2 linked regions of the Mytilus edulis genome follow. Each later gene encodes a partner of the first gene's protein in a complex. Links are inferred from orthologs where the notes say so. Each region holds a gene or a part of one and is shown in the gene's direction. Other genes may lie near its edges.

The links. The genes of interacting proteins can lie anywhere in the genome.
Region 2: eukaryotic translation initiation factor 3 subunit D-like (region 1) and eukaryotic translation initiation factor 3 subunit E-A-like share a complex: the UniProt entries of both Drosophila melanogaster proteins name them as parts of the eukaryotic translation initiation factor 3 (eIF-3) complex. The link is inferred for Mytilus edulis from reciprocal best matches to the Drosophila melanogaster genes eIF3d1 and eIF3e.

Annotation. Positions count from the first base shown.
Region 1 is NC_092352.1:39,012,070-39,019,733, forward strand, and holds the start of eukaryotic translation initiation factor 3 subunit D-like, read left to right. Parts: upstream 1-4,542; 5' UTR 4,543-4,615; coding exon 4,616-4,738; intron 4,739-5,580; coding exon 5,581-5,626; intron 5,627-6,310; coding exon 6,311-6,450; intron 6,451-7,022; coding exon 7,023-7,111; intron 7,112-7,573; coding exon 7,574-7,640; intron 7,641-7,664. UniProt on the Drosophila melanogaster protein: mRNA cap-binding component of the eukaryotic translation initiation factor 3 (eIF-3) complex, which is involved in protein synthesis of a specialized repertoire of mRNAs and, together with other initiation factors, stimulates binding of mRNA and methionyl-tRNAi to the 40S ribosome.
Region 2 is NC_092344.1:103,021,687-103,029,803, forward strand, and holds the start of eukaryotic translation initiation factor 3 subunit E-A-like, read left to right. Parts: upstream 1-4,874; 5' UTR 4,875-4,916; coding exon 4,917-5,006; intron 5,007-6,136; coding exon 6,137-6,254; intron 6,255-8,117. Other genes in the region: E3 ubiquitin-protein ligase RNF146-like, read right to left, coding at 1-477, 2,558-2,777. UniProt on the Drosophila melanogaster protein: Component of the eukaryotic translation initiation factor 3 (eIF-3) complex, which is involved in protein synthesis of a specialized repertoire of mRNAs and, together with other initiation factors, stimulates binding of mRNA and methionyl-tRNAi to the 40S ribosome.

The DNA of each region.
Region 1 (7,664 bases):
TTGAATGGGAACCTTACCTCTGTATCTTTACCCCCTTCAAAGGAGAACCACACAGTTTCTGTGTGTTGAACGGGTGCTTTGGGTGGCGGTGCTCATTATTTACATTGGTGCTGTGTCTGTGGGTCCCATCACCATAATTTATCCATGAATTTTTTGGATCATCCTTCCACCATTATGTACATTATTTACATATATGAATATCACTAAAGATAATGTTTGCAATCCGCAACGACACCTCCCGACATTTTAAAATTCATGTATGTTATAATAAAAGTTCATGGCGATTTTTATCAATGTTAAAACAAGTCTATCCACACGGGGTTTTGTGTTAATATATAAAAACGGCTTCTTATTAATCGCTTATAATCTAAAATCTAGAATGTCCTCACATACGGAATATATATATAGAGAGCGACTTTGCCTGGTTAAAATACGTATTTAAAGCTCCATGTTTAAAAAATGTTTGCTCTTAAAAATCTAAAAGTTCAGTGTTCATACGAAATTACTGCATTGTGATAAAAGTATATGTACGGTAAAATCTAAAAGTATGTCCACTATGAATCTGTGGGCAATCCGGTGCTTTAGGACCCAGAGTCAATGGTATCCCTACCCCTCCCCCTCTCCATGCTAGCTTATCTTCTACGATGTGCCTCTAAGTCTTTTCGTCCAACAGTACATTTCTCTTTATGTGCAACTTGAAGAAAAGGTTTCTGGAATGGTTTTCCATACGGGCTACGCTGGCTGAGTTATGTCTATTTAGGTTGATGAGTTTTGCACTGTCGAGGAGCAATTGCATTTGCGTTGTAATGTCCAGGTCATGGAACCTTATGGTATTATTCATCTCATTTTGCCATATGTCATTCACCTCTTTAAGTATCACCGCTCTAACGGACTGTAACTTCTCGCATTGCATTACAAAATGTTCTAGTGTTTCCTCCTGTAACCCACAAAGCAGGCAGGTCGGGTCTGTTTCTTGTCTGTAGAATTGAATCCGTTTTGTTTGAAGTACATAAGTTCCAGTAATAAGGCGTAATCTGGTAGGGATTCTGCTATTGTCTAGAGCGGATTGACTCTTGTGTTGGAGGATTGGGTGAAGTTTTCCCTTGATGAGGTTTTGACTGCTCAGGTACTTTAGGCCCAAGTATAGTTCGGATATTTGTACAGTTTTGATGCTCCAGTATTTCATCACAGCGTTCTTTATCAATGTGATCCACTGAGTTTTCTTTGTTGGGTTGGCCAAGTAGGTGTTTGCTTCGCTGAGATCGTATAGACGTAGCAACTTGTTGACGTGTATGAACCAACTATTACTTTCCTCACTGCAGACTGTCAGTTGTCTTCTGGCAAGCTTTTTCTCGGTACTCTCTTCTGATTGATGGCAGATATTGTTAAAGAAAGTTAGCGTCTTAATGTGAATTTGGGCTTCAACCGGAAGAATTCCTGTGAGTATGTAGACTGCTGGATCAGGGCATCTTGTTGGCAGCGATAATATCTGTTTAAGCATCCTTTTTTGGAAGATCTCAAGTTGTTCAAGAGGCTTACCGGATGGGGTTAGAAGTTCCATTCCGTATAGTAGGACAGGGAGTATATACGTCTTGTAGATATGCAGTAGCGATTCAGGGTCCAAACCATTGTGTCCATGGAACCCGGCTCCAAGTAGGCTGTATGCACTCCTTCTTGCCTTTGTTATATTTTCGTTGGTGTTACTTTGTATATTGTTCTTCCGAGTTGTAGTTCTGATGATCCCAAGGTGTGTAGCCTGCTCAACATTAGGCATAGGTGTGTTACCCATCATCAGGTTGTCTTCTTCCATTTTGGTGTTATTGCTGTTTCCGCTTATTTTAATTACTACACTTTTCTTTGGCTGCAGCTGGTATCCTTCTGAATTGGCAAAATCAAGGGCCATGTTGACCATAATTTGAGCATCAGCTGGCTGCATACTCAATATTGCGATATCATCTGCGCATCCGGTGTTGTTTGTGTTGACATTCCCTATAGTCATGCCGTAGGTTGTGTTTTGGAAGTGGTCTAACAGAGGGTTGATGTATAACTTGTACAGGTCTGTACTCAGTATGCCTCCTTGCCTGACACCCATGCCTACTGTGAAACGCTCTGATGTTTTTCCGGACCATTTTATGCTACTTTCTGCGTTTTGATGAAGACTCCTAATGATTGTCCATGTCCTGTCTTGAATCCCAGCATGATATACCCTGCGGAATAGATGTGAGTGCACCACAGTGTCAAAGGCAGCTTTTGCGTCGAGCAAGACTAGGTAACCGTTTTGCTTTTTTTCCGGGAGAATTCGGTACATTTCCTCCACAGGTAGTGCTGCATTCATCGGGGAGGATCCTTTGGTGAATCCTCTTTGAGTTGGGTTTTGCACCTTCTGCACTTTTGGTTGTACCCGATCTCTAATGATGGCCTCAATTATCTTGCTCTCTACGGGTAAAATAGTTATTCCTCGGTAGTTTAATGCATCGTTTTTGCTGCCTTTGTTCTTAAATACAGGAGAAAGCAGTCCTATTTTCAGAATTGTTGGTATATCTCCTTCTAGGAATATGATATTGATGAGTTGAGTAAGGGCGGATAAGATATTATCTCCAGCATATATGAAATGTTCGATGGTTATATTATGGTAGTCTGCGGATTTGTTTCTATTTATTGTAGAAATAGCTTTACGGACATCATTTTCTATGACAGGGCGTATCGTTTCTTGGTCTACCAGTTTGCAGATATTGCTTATTTCCATTTCCACTTGGGAGTGGTACTCCGGGTTGCTGAAGGCCTCTTCTTTAAGTGTAGAAAGAGTACAGAAGTGTTCCTTAAATCCTTCTATGACTTTGTCTCCCGAGTATGTGGCGCCATTAACGTTTATATCCTGTATGTGTTCAATTCCCTTCCTGCGGTTCTTTTGAACTAGTTTGTGGAAGACCTCCATGTTATTCGATCTTGCTTCCATGATGCTCTCTTTTTCTGCCTCCAGTTGCCTTGCTACTGCTATGCGTACTGTTTTCCTAAATTCCTTTTTTCCTTGTTTTTTCTTGAGTGTTAGGGGATTTGCTGGATCGTTTGGTCTCCCACCTTTTTGCCATTCGTTGTACGTGATCCGTTTTTCCTTTAAGGCGTTCTTTATGTCACTATTCCATACTTTGAGCTTTGGTCTTGATTGATAAACTGTTTTATTTCCTGATGAATTTTGTGATGCTGTTGTGAGTATATCATTCATCCGCTCAACTACTTCTTGTGACTCTAATGAATCTGTAATAATTGATTCTTGCAGCTTCAGTGCCTCTTTGTCTGTTATTGCTTTATACAGATCCTTGTCTACCTTATCCCATTTAATTTTGGATTTCGGACGTTTTTTTTGGTTCATATCAAGTTTCTCATGCTTCCAGTTTATACTCATACTGATTGGATAATGGTCTGAGGCGTTGGTTTGGCATTTGAGGATTGACTTTCCCTTCCCTAGTATGTCTGGTGTTATGTTGTGTAGGAAATAGTCAATTTCAGAGCATTCACACCCCTTCGAGTTGATAAATGTATTTCCAATGTTATCAAATTTCAATTCAATTTCATTTATAAATTTCTTCAGGTACTCCTTTCTCTTGTTCGTTGGTTTTCCAGCATTAAGGTCTTCGTTAATGTCTCCACCTATAATAATGTGGTGAGTACTGATGTATTTTTGGCATATCTCGTGCAGTTCATCTATGCACTCTTGATATTCTATTTGATGGTTTTTGCTCCCGTTTGATGGTAGATACACGCTAACAACCAGTATTCGCCTAACCGAGTTCTCAAGTTCAATACACTGTATTTTTTCCGATCCGTCGTCAAGAGGTCTAATGAGATGATTTATGTTTGTGTTCCAAATGATTCCCACGCCACCGTATCCTCTGGGCATGGATACTGGAAGAATTGGTTCGTTCATATCCACCCCCTTGGCTGCAAAGTTTACGTTACAGTTAATATCAGAGATCATATGTATTTGAGAATGAAAAAGCCAATGTTCCTGAATTAAGATGATGTCATTTTCCTGTAGAATTTCGCTAATGGAGTGTCCACATGTTTTGATATTTTTACAGTTGTATGAGGCTATGCTGATGGATTTGTCCTTAGTGTCTAAAATTGGTTGATGTTGTTTCGTTGGGGATTGCTCTGCACTAAAAAAGGGTTGTTTCCACAAGCTGCACCTGTTGCCATGTTGTATAACGGTTGTTGATTAACAGGGTGGTGCGTTGGAGGGATTTGTGACTCTAGTCTTCTGACATAGTAGTGTTGTCTTGGTGGTAATGGTGCACTTGGACCAGGGTGTTGTACATGTGCCTTTTTTGTTCCATTCCATATCTTTCGGGTGTTATCAGATTTCTGTTGACATGCTCCTGTAGCAGCTTTCTTGTTTGGATGGCTGTATATTAGAGGTATTCCGTGGAGTTTGGTAGGGTCCTCGTTTGTTATTGTTCTTGGCGAGTAGTCGGCAGATATAGTTTTGGCCTCTTCAGTTTTGTGGCTGACAGAGATGTTTGGCTTGTCTTTGTTGTTCGTTTTCACCGAATCTTTTCGGTTATTAGTTTAGTCTGAAAACGAGGCTGAAAGACGATCACGTTTTGCCGGTAGAAATATGGCATATTTTAATCCCCCACAAATTCAAGATAACCCCGTTGGATGGGGTCCTTGTGCTATTCCTGAACAATTTAAGGACATGCCATATCAGCCCTTTTCAAAGGGAGATCGGCTCGGAAAGGTAGAGTACTGTAATGAATAAGTTGTCAACATATTGTAACTTTAAAAAAGGGGGAGGGAAGGATTGTCAGAATGATCCAGGAAAGTTCCTGGAGTATCAAACAGCAGATCAGTTTTGTTCCATCTGGTGAATGGTTTAGACATAATGTGTAAAATAATCAATTAAGATCGATGGTGCTTAACAAGTTGGCACTTGCTGACTTGGTCTTTGCCTTTGGTGCCAATCTAGGGGCTTCCAGGGGCGTAGCTACATTTACGTCAAAACGCCCGGGCGTACACTTGAATTTTATAAAAAAAAAATATCTCCATTAAAAAGATCTGGTTTAAAACACATCAGTGTTGTAAATCAATCTTCAATAGCTTGTAATTGCTTATAAAAGTGACGAAATCTATTTCCGATCAAATAGTGCCGTATTATATATTTGTTTATTTTCTTTCGGTCAAATTCTGAATCTCCTGGTAATTCTTCTTACTTTCCATTTGTTTAAAGAAATTCATAATCAGCTGAGATCCGATATGTGCTTTGAATTTTAGCCGAGCCTGCGACATTTATAACGCGAAAAAAAGAAATAGCGAACCTAGATTTTTTCAGCGGCGTCAACATTTAGGTTCAATATGTGGTTATTTTAATATCAATAATTTTGTCAAACCTTCATGAAGTTTTACGAAAGTTGGACAGAAGCATGCCTGATGAGGTCACATTTAAAATTCCAGTCTTTGATTTAGGAAATTTGAACAAAATTTCTGTAATGTCACTAATATCATTTATGTCTAGAGCTGCAGTTTGAATAATAACCATATTATACATGAATTATATAATCTCTCATGGTGCTTTATTTTTAGGTTTCTGATTGGACTGGAGCAACCTATCAAGACAAAAGATATTTAGGTATTGGTTTATCTAAGTAGAACGGTTATGTTTTATATAATAGTACATGTATTTATCAGATTTGCACCTATTTTTATTTGGAGTGCAGGTGTTCAGCTAAATTTCAATCAGAATATAGTAGACAATAGACAATATTTTATTAGCACAAACACATTTACATTAAATGGTTATGGCATACAAAATTAAATACAATATATAAGTAGCAGTTCAATAATCAAATAATAAAAAAAAGTACTAAGTATTATGGTTAACATGATCATGCAATAAGTCGAAGTAAGCATTTGTTGATTTTTTTAATTTAGAGTATCAAAATAAAAGCTTTAATTTATTAAAGAAACACATTTCTTTAGATATAGATTGTTAAAAAAAATAGGTTTTTTCTCTCTTTGCTTTATATATATATAACATCATTTTGGAAAAATCAATTGATGCATTTACTTGAGTATCAGTTTCCTAGAAGAATTAGACACTGTCTATGTCAAACATTCCTTTTGTATGTAAAGTCTACAATGGATCTCCATCTTCTCCCCGTTTTATTTGTGTTGATATGGAGGTAGAAAAACAACATCTTCACTAATATTTTATCTATACGTAAGTAATGATGTGTGTATTAAAAGTCTTTTAGACACTGCAGATTTATGTTAATATGTATAAACAACAGCTCTAAATATTTGTATTGCACAGGGAAATACAGTTCTTCATTTGGAGGATTAGGAAGCCAGTATGCTTACTACCATGAAGAGGATGAGAACAGTTTCCAACTTGTTGATACAGCTAAGGTTCAGAAACCAGTGTACCAAAGAGGAAGAAGAGTTTATCAACAGGTATGAAAACATATTGAAACAGGGTTCTAAAACAAATTATGAAGTATAATTGTTTTGCTGAGTACAAAACTAAGCTTTACTTATGTGGTTAAAAGAATATTGCTGAAACAAAAACCCTCAGTATAAAACAGTCATGTGACAATTTTGCAGGTTGTTTTTATAATCCTTTTCTCACATTGTCATGAAGAGCACATGTTGTCAAAAGTTTGTGTGTTTTTAAGACATCAATAGCTTAATATTGCTATTTGATATTTGTCTGCAAATAAAAAATGATGGAATCATTATGAGACAACAATATTACCGATAAGTGGACTGTCTCATTGTTGTAACATCATCATGATAATATTCAATCTTCAGACTTTATTTTTGAAGTCCTACAAATAAGAATTCTTATCAAATTTAACCACATATCTGCTATTTCAAGTAACAAACCATCTAGTATTGATTATATTCACCCAAGTAAACGAACAAATATTTTACAATAATCCATTGCCTCAGTTTGTTTAAATACAGTGAAAGGACCTAAAATTTGTTGCACAACGTTTGAAATTATAAATACATTTTTTTTGCAGAATAAACAAAGAAAGGAAAGAGAAAGAAGGCAACAACAAGCTCAAGCTAGTATGCAGGTGTTGTCTAAAACACAGAAAAGTAGAGAAAGGTACAGATATTACTTAAACTTGAGGGTTATTTGTCTTGAATGCTTTTTTTCTAATAAAATTAGATTTTTCTTTGGATAAAATTACCTCGATTGGGGGATTATATTGATTGATATATGTATAAAGGAATTTTTCGCAAACTGACTAAAACCAAAAAAATAATTTTGCAGCAAGTTCTAAAGACTTACATATTTAACAGAGAGTAAACAGCACACCTTACTGGAAAAACAAAGGAGTAAATACCATTCACAATTTAAAGTGTCATGAAATCTTCATCTTGTCTTTCTATACCAATGCATTTGAATAGGGGCAAAGTAAGCATTTCTAGTAAAAGATACTTTGCTAGCCGCCTTGTTTAATGTAGGATAAATGTTTGAGGATTTTTAATATTCTTTTCTCGTCAAACACTGAATGTTTAAATATGCAAGTAAAACTGAATGATGACAATAATGATACTTTTACAGGGATCGTCAGCGTCTGTTGAGGAAATGGCAGAAACAGTTTGGTAAACAACAAGAAAATAGACAAAAGGTATTGAAAAAGTAGAAACGGTTC
Region 2 (8,117 bases), on another chromosome or scaffold:
TGGAGATTTCATTATCAAATTTGAGTCCAGCTACACCTTTAACATCAGGTATACTAATTAAGTCTCTTTTAATTCTCCTCTTCCTCGATCTGTCATTTCTCCTATACTGAATCATGTTTTCTAAATCTATGATATACAAAAATCCTGCTATCAACAATTCAAATAGTTTTTCTCCTGTTTTGTGACGACTTTCTATTTCCTGGCTGGTTCTATCATCATATTTCCACCATCCATTACGACCTTCATAAAACCACTGATATTCATTATCAAATTTTATTGTCTTATCTAAATCTTCAGTTCGAACTAAAACAGGTTTGGCAAAAAAATCTGCAGGGATTTCCTGTCTACATAATGCACATTTTTTACTTCTGTTAGCTACACCTTTTACACATAGAAAACAAAATATGTGTCGACATGGTAACTGCACAGGATAAATACTAGGTTGTAAACAAACAGAACACTCTATGGTAGGATCACCTGAAAAAAAACCCAAAAAAACCTTTCAATATCTATGAGCGTAAGTTCATCATGTGTAGATATTAGTTTCAAACATTGTTCATACTACATGTATATCTTAAAAATGATCATAAACATGATAAAAAGCATGTAAAATATAAAACAAAATGTTTAAAAAGTATTGTCAGAATCAGTCATTTATATGTGGGGAAATTTGATTGATTATATACAGAATCACTGAAACATGACTGTAGCAGGCCCCCATTTATAAAAAGTTCTGGATCCCCCACTATATGTGTTTTTCTACCAACATGTTTGACAATTCCAAATAGGATCATATAATTTTATGAAGTAAAAGTTATTTTAAATTTAAGTTAGTTATTCTTAAAAGGAGACCATAGGCGGATCCGGGAAAAATTTGGTTGATTATATAGGGAATCACTGAAGCATGACTGGAGTGGGCCCCCCCCCCCCCCCCCCCCCCCCTTATGAAAAGTTCTGGATCTGCCACTGGAGACTGACCTCTCAGTTATTCAATTATTTTAAATTTTGAAAATCAGAAAAAATAAACTTCACATCAGCCATGTCAGCATGATCACAATACTTTAAAATATTAAAAATAGCTGATATCAATTTTTATAAAAAACTTGACAACTGGCAACTGCACAAGCTGAAATTGGCGGGAAAGTGACATTTAAAGGAAACACTCCTTTGTTAATTTATGTATCATTGTCATTTTGTTTAGTTTCTTTTGTTACCTATATATATTCTGACATCAGACTTTGACTTCTTTTAACATTTTAAACTGAGTTTTACTGTGCGTATTGCTGTGTGTTTGTTTTTTCTACATTAGCTAGAACTAAAAAGTGTAGGGAACATGGGGAAAGAGTTGAGATCTCACAAAACATGTTTAACCCTGCCACATTTAAGGGCCTGCCCCAAGTCAGGTGCCTCTGACCTCTGTTAGTCTTGTATGATTTTTAATTTCAGTTCATTTATATATTTCAGAGTTTAGTATGATGTCCATTATCACTAAACTTGTACACATTTTTGTTTAGGGGCCAGATGAAGCATGCCTCTGCAAGCAGGATTTTCTCCCTGTTTTGTAGACCCATTGGTGGCCTAGCTGCTCTATAGTCAGGTTGTTGCCTCTTTGACGCATTCTCCATTTTCAATTTTACTCCTGAAAAGGCTGAAATTTATTAAATAAATTCAGATTTTGGTATGTAGATTTTTTTGTGGGGAAGGATCTTAGAAAATCTGGGCAACCATTTGAAAAAAGAAGTATATCATACCATATATTATACTGTTCCCAGATCATACCTAACTTGGATGGAATTATAACTTATTTTATCGATACTTTTGGATATTTTCAAAAACATGCAGATGAGGTACTAATAATGTAAGAGTTTGTACATGTATATAAGCAAAAATTTTACTTGTCATTGAAGAGAAAATGTCAAATTCGGTCTTAAAGTTAAGAGGAGTTCAGCATACCAGGAACATATATATATTATACTGTTCCCAGATCATACCTAACTTGGATGGAATTATAACTTATTTTATCGATACTTTTGGATATTTTCAAAAACATGCAGATGAGGTACTAATAATGTAAGAGTTTGTACATGTATATAAGCAAAAATTTTACTTGTCATTGAAGAGAAAATGTCAAATTCGGTCTTAAAGTTAAGAGGAGTTCAGCATAAAAAATGACTTTAATGTTATATTGTACATGTACAATGTCAATGATGTAGGAAGGAGTCGCATGAAAAAACATGCATTACCCTTTGTGGGATAATTTTCGACAGACACCACCTGAGCCGGCCACCTGAGTCTGACTAAATTACTAGCTTACTATACAGACACAGTATGGGATTTGTTGATTGTTAAAGGATATATCATGTACAATGCCCAATAAATGCTTACCTCCATGTCCTATACATTGTAGATGGTTGCCTCAATAGCAAATCACATGTAGATCTCCTAATTTTATATCATAATTTCACGAATTATATACCACTATACCAGTCTTATTAAATACTTTTTTTACAAGTTGCAGTATCATGACTAAAAGTTACATATAAATATATATATATACCATTTTCTGTTAATTGGGAATCATACTGAATGTTCTGAAATTTTGTACTGGCTTGTTGTTGGTTTGGTTTGATTTCACTGCATTTATCTTCATCGTCTTGATCTGCCATCTCACGTTGCCGTCCTCCTTCGTCAGTTTCATTCCGTGCCATTTCTCGATTCAAGGTCGCCTGGTTGGTACAGTTGGCAGCACTCCCACTTCTTAGGCCAGGCCTGCTCATACCTGCTGCATTTGATGCAGCGACTAATTTAATGAATCACAAAAATCGAACACTTCCAGTTAGAACAGCCTTGACCTTTCATCGTCGTTACGAACTTTTCGAATACTTTTCGGAACACTAATGAACTTGTGCGGTACAAAATTCCATTGGAAAATCAAACTAAATTTAAAAAGTTATTATCAAAACGATTCTTTACACAGTGTAAAAGACCGCAAAATATTTATCCGAAAATAAAATATGATGACTAAATAAAAATCTGCCACTGGACACAGCATAAAATATTTCCGTAATGTATTGATTGGGCTTTTTATTTGTCTCAGCATGGAAGTATTGCTTCCATGGTCACAGCAAAGATTTGTACTATACAAATCATAGGTCCCAGTATACTTTCCTTTAAAATAAAAGTTAAACTTAAATAAGAAAGAACTGAAAAAATCTGTTTAGTTTAGATTTATAGCTCGATAAGACAAGATAAGATAAGAAAATTTATTTTATGTCGGGTTGTAAATACTACAAACATAAGCTCTGTAGAGCTTTTTGTCGACATTAATAACAACAACAACACATACAAGACATATATAGGACATATACAGCACACACAATAGACAATATAAAGACAGCTATATTGCATACGCAACTGAGTTCATATATAATTATATATAAAAGCAAGTACAATCAAGTAAAGCACTAAACTAGATTATAAGCACATGCAAAGCAGACAAATAAATAGGCTAAACTAGTTCTAAAAGTAGCATGAAAACATAAAAAGCCATAAAACTTATTTCATAGAGCCAGAGACATATGAATACAGGCTAGCCGATATGTCTCTTATAATACTGATAGAGCGTAATGGACTATCATGTTGAATACAATATATATATATAGTGAGATTCCATTTAGATATATCTCGGATATATATATTAAAACAAGTCTAAACTTTTGAAAACAACGTCCAAACCTATGATTGCGTTGGATAAAAAAACGCAATTTTTATACGTCTGCATGTAAAAAACATCGTTGTAGAAGGGTCTCAATACAGCACAAACAACATTTCCAAGAGACCAGTAAGTGTAAAAGTGTTTATATTTCACAGCTCGTTCGCTATGCCCGTGTCTGTTGTGACGTTTTTGATTTTAACGAACATAATCTATGTATTACTGGTAAATTATTAAACCAGGGATCATCGTAATGTATATCCATAAATTACTTAAAATCTTTATTAAATTTCCGATAGATATAAAAATTTGATTTTGAAGTTTGATTGTACCTGTAGGAAACTTATTTCAAACAGGATAGCACATCTTCATTTTTACGGAAATGTTGTTAACCGTGCCCGGAAATTTAGAAATGATCCTTGTAAACTGATCGCTCCTTTAAATAAAGTTATTCTAAAAGGTTACCAATTCAACAGTATAGTTATACCAATAAAAACAATCATTAAATGATTACAGTGTTACACTGTAATCATTTAATGATTGTTTTTATTGGTCAGTATATTAAATGATTACAGTGTTACACTGTAATCATTTAATGATTGTTTTTATTGGTATAACTATTGATTTTGTTATCAGTAAATTAAAAGCAAACTAAATATTACTAGTATGTTATATACATATACACATTCATGGATCTACATTCTGTCGATACCTGTATCTTGGCATTCACAAAGTCATGTTTTTCTCTGACTGTTTATGACATCTTAACACTGAATCCATTTTGTGTTGAATGCGTGACGGTTATAATGAAGTCAAATTATACACCTCTTTCTTTAAAAAAAATTAAACAAAATAGCAATTACACAATAATTGGAAACTTAAACATCGAGTGGGGATATTATATCTATAGAGTTTAAAATAGCAAGTGTTCTACAATGAGACTATCAAAATCCGTGTCCTTGAAAGGCTCGGAAATCCGAATAAATATTAGCCCCGCTTTCCTGTTCATCGTTCGAATATATATACAAAATATATGGTAAGAAATTTACTGTTATACCCATTTGTTTCTAAAATTGCAATTGCGTCTGAATGTTATGCATGCTTTTAAAAAAAAAAACTGTATAAAAAAAACAAAGAATATTCCTATCCGTACCCGACGTTTGTTTTATGATTTATAATCCTTTTTGACAAGCGCACCGGCAGCATGGCGGAATGGGACTTGACTTCGCGAATGGGACAGTATTTAGACCGTCATTTGGTCTTCCCTTTACTAGAATTTTTATCTGTGAAAGAAGTAAGTAGTATAATAAACATACATGACACAGAAAGAAACGTATCGTGATCCCGAGCTACGATTCAAATGAATGTTTATCCCATCTGTCATAGATGATCTGTCATAGATGAGGGAGGGTAGGAGGGGTCCTGATCCCGAATTCCCGGGCTTAAAAATACGAAATCCCGAAATCCCGGGCTTAAAAACACGAAATCCCGAGGTTCCGAAATTCGAAAAAAGAATTCCCGGATCCCGAAAGGGTCAATCCCGAAATCCCGAGCTTAAAAACACCCGATCCCGTAGTCCCGATAAAGGTCCTATCCCCCCTCATAGATAACCTTTCCGTATTGACCATATAAAACCCGATACCGGTACTTTCGATTTGAATTATTTTATAGATATTAACAATAAAAAAAAAGATAAAATAGCAAACCAGAACTACAAACAACTCTCCTATATTAACAAGATTGAAAATTATAAATTAAGACCAGACGTAATCCCTTTTATGGTCGTGTATCTTAGATTAATGCACCTCATCACTATTTCCTGCCATTACTGGACAATACACAGGTTCCTGTAAAGTTCTGACGCCACAATACAAAATATCTGACGCCACTATTGAAAAGTGATTGTGATATGACGTCAGTCAATAGTTTAAGCGGGACAGATTCTTTGGTCAGTTGGGAATAGCAATAAGGTGTATACTAGAATTAGATTCATTTCTGATTTGACCACTTTCAGAAATCCCTCATCAAGCACAGAGTAACTGGAAATGTTAGTAAAATGTTCAATGTCAAAACAATGTTCAGTTTCTTAAAGTCTAGCTATTTATTTGTAGAATTAGGTGTTTGATGATAAAAATTATCCTTATAATTATACATAGAAAAAGTACAAACATTTGGAAATAACAGAGACATATAATTCAAAAAGAATCGCAACTCAGAGAACTACCATCATATCTCTCGGTCACTAGGAAATCCTTGTGAGATCTTCTTCGGTAACTAAAAGTATTGAAAGTACTAGAAGTAATGATGAATGTTTTAAAATAACTTGATTTCTACCGTTATAAATGTTTGAGATACTTGTGTTGTCTATAACCCTCACTGCACATATATTAGTCTATAGTTAAGAAAATATTTTTATGTTTTCAGCTGTATGATGAAAAACAGATGTTAAAAGGGAAGTTGGATCTTCTCAGTAATACAAACATGGTGGACTTTGCAATGGATGTACATAAAAATTTATATCCTGACAAAGATGTACCACAAAGTAATTATACAGTTACATAAATATGTCGACTATATAAAGACAATAACACTCAGGTCCTGATGAGGCCTATTTATAGGTGAAACATGTCGACCAAATAAACAGATACTTTGCGCTAAAAACTTGAGTGTTGTTGTCTTTATTGTAGACATATTAATCACCACTTCAGGTGTTGGTTCACTTATATTTTTACACTTACATATATACATGTGATAAACATTATATCTTATTCACATCAAACAAATACTACACTTCAGCAATAATTCAACTAGGCATTGTTCCAGTGCATTTGCACACCTTTCTCTCGTAATGTGTTTAAGGAAATACGAAAATATGAACTAATTTCTGAAAGGATTCAGGAAGAAATTTTTATAAAAATGGCAATTTACATACCACTCCTCCTGCTCCTGACATGCCTGAATTAGTGCTTTGCATCGACCTAAATGACATATTGGAATAGAACAAAACTTGATTTACTGTAATACAAACGAGAAGATGGTTGAGAATGGTTGAACTATAATATTACTTACAAATGTGATTAAGGATTCAAAGACGATCAATTGTCTGGTTGAATTTTGATTTTTTAGACTATTCACTAATTCTGAAAATATGTATTATAAAGAACATGGATTAAACAAAAAATATATCTGTTTTCCATGGTCTCAAACTAGTATTGTATGAACTACAAAGAGTTATTTACAAGATTAGAATTAATTGTCTTTGGCCCAGGGCTTCTAAAAAAATTTTGAGCCAGCCGGACATTTTATATCTGATTCCAATTTTAATCTCTAAGACTAAGTCACAAAAGGCAATTATGGTAATCAAATGGCCATCCCAATGATTGACATTAGATTAAAAAAAACGAAATTAAACTTTACTTTGATATGAATTTGATGTTCTGATGTAAACTGTTAAAATTGGCAGTGCATCATTCAAAGTGTGTACATCAGCGTGCTCATATCTGCCGGCTCTTTATTTGTGCAAAATGACGTTGTCAAAAAATTTACTTTAGTTTTCAAAGTCAAACCGGATGTTGACACATTTTCCCAAACCGGATGTTGACTTGACAATGGTAAAACATGGACCATAAACGGATACGTAAAATCCGTGTACATTTACAAAGCACGACTGAGTGAAGAAGCTCTTTCCACGTTATTTCTTGAACAAAATACTTGAAATGAACGTTAGATACCGGTTTCAATGATTATTTTACCATTTTTGAAGAAATGTAGGATGCATAATTAAATTTCCCACCTGTGCACATGCGCACACGTGTTCTTATTCATGCAACATAGTTCTGACGATTTTTCATTTAAAATCTTTTTAAATGTTTCATCAAATCATGTTTATAAATGTATTTATTATAATTTAATCTTTTGGACTAATTCAATTAGATACAAACCACTGAAATGTACGGAAATAATTGTGAATAGACCGATTAATTTATACGATGTCCGGTACTGAAAATTATTGTTTACCTGTCATCTGAACAGGTAGTTTTCAGCTGTCCAACAACTAATTAGCTTGGATTAAAATTAGAGAGTATTGAAGTAGGGGTTGTTTTGATAGTAATTAATCATCATGTCACTTTTATGACCGGAAATGTGGGGCTGTTAAAGGCAAAAAATTGGGTCAAAAAGATCGTCAATTAGGTTAAAATGACAGAAAAAGCCTTAAAAACTAAAAAGTAGATGACTGTTTCATGCTTGGCCCAGCTGGACTTTTAACAGACATACAAATGACCGGAATATATGACCGTTTTGGAAGCCTTGCTTTGGCCGTATTTATTCAGACTTACATGTATCAAAAAGAGTTTCAAGGAAGCAAACTAAATTTTTATGAATCAATGATCACATACATCTGACA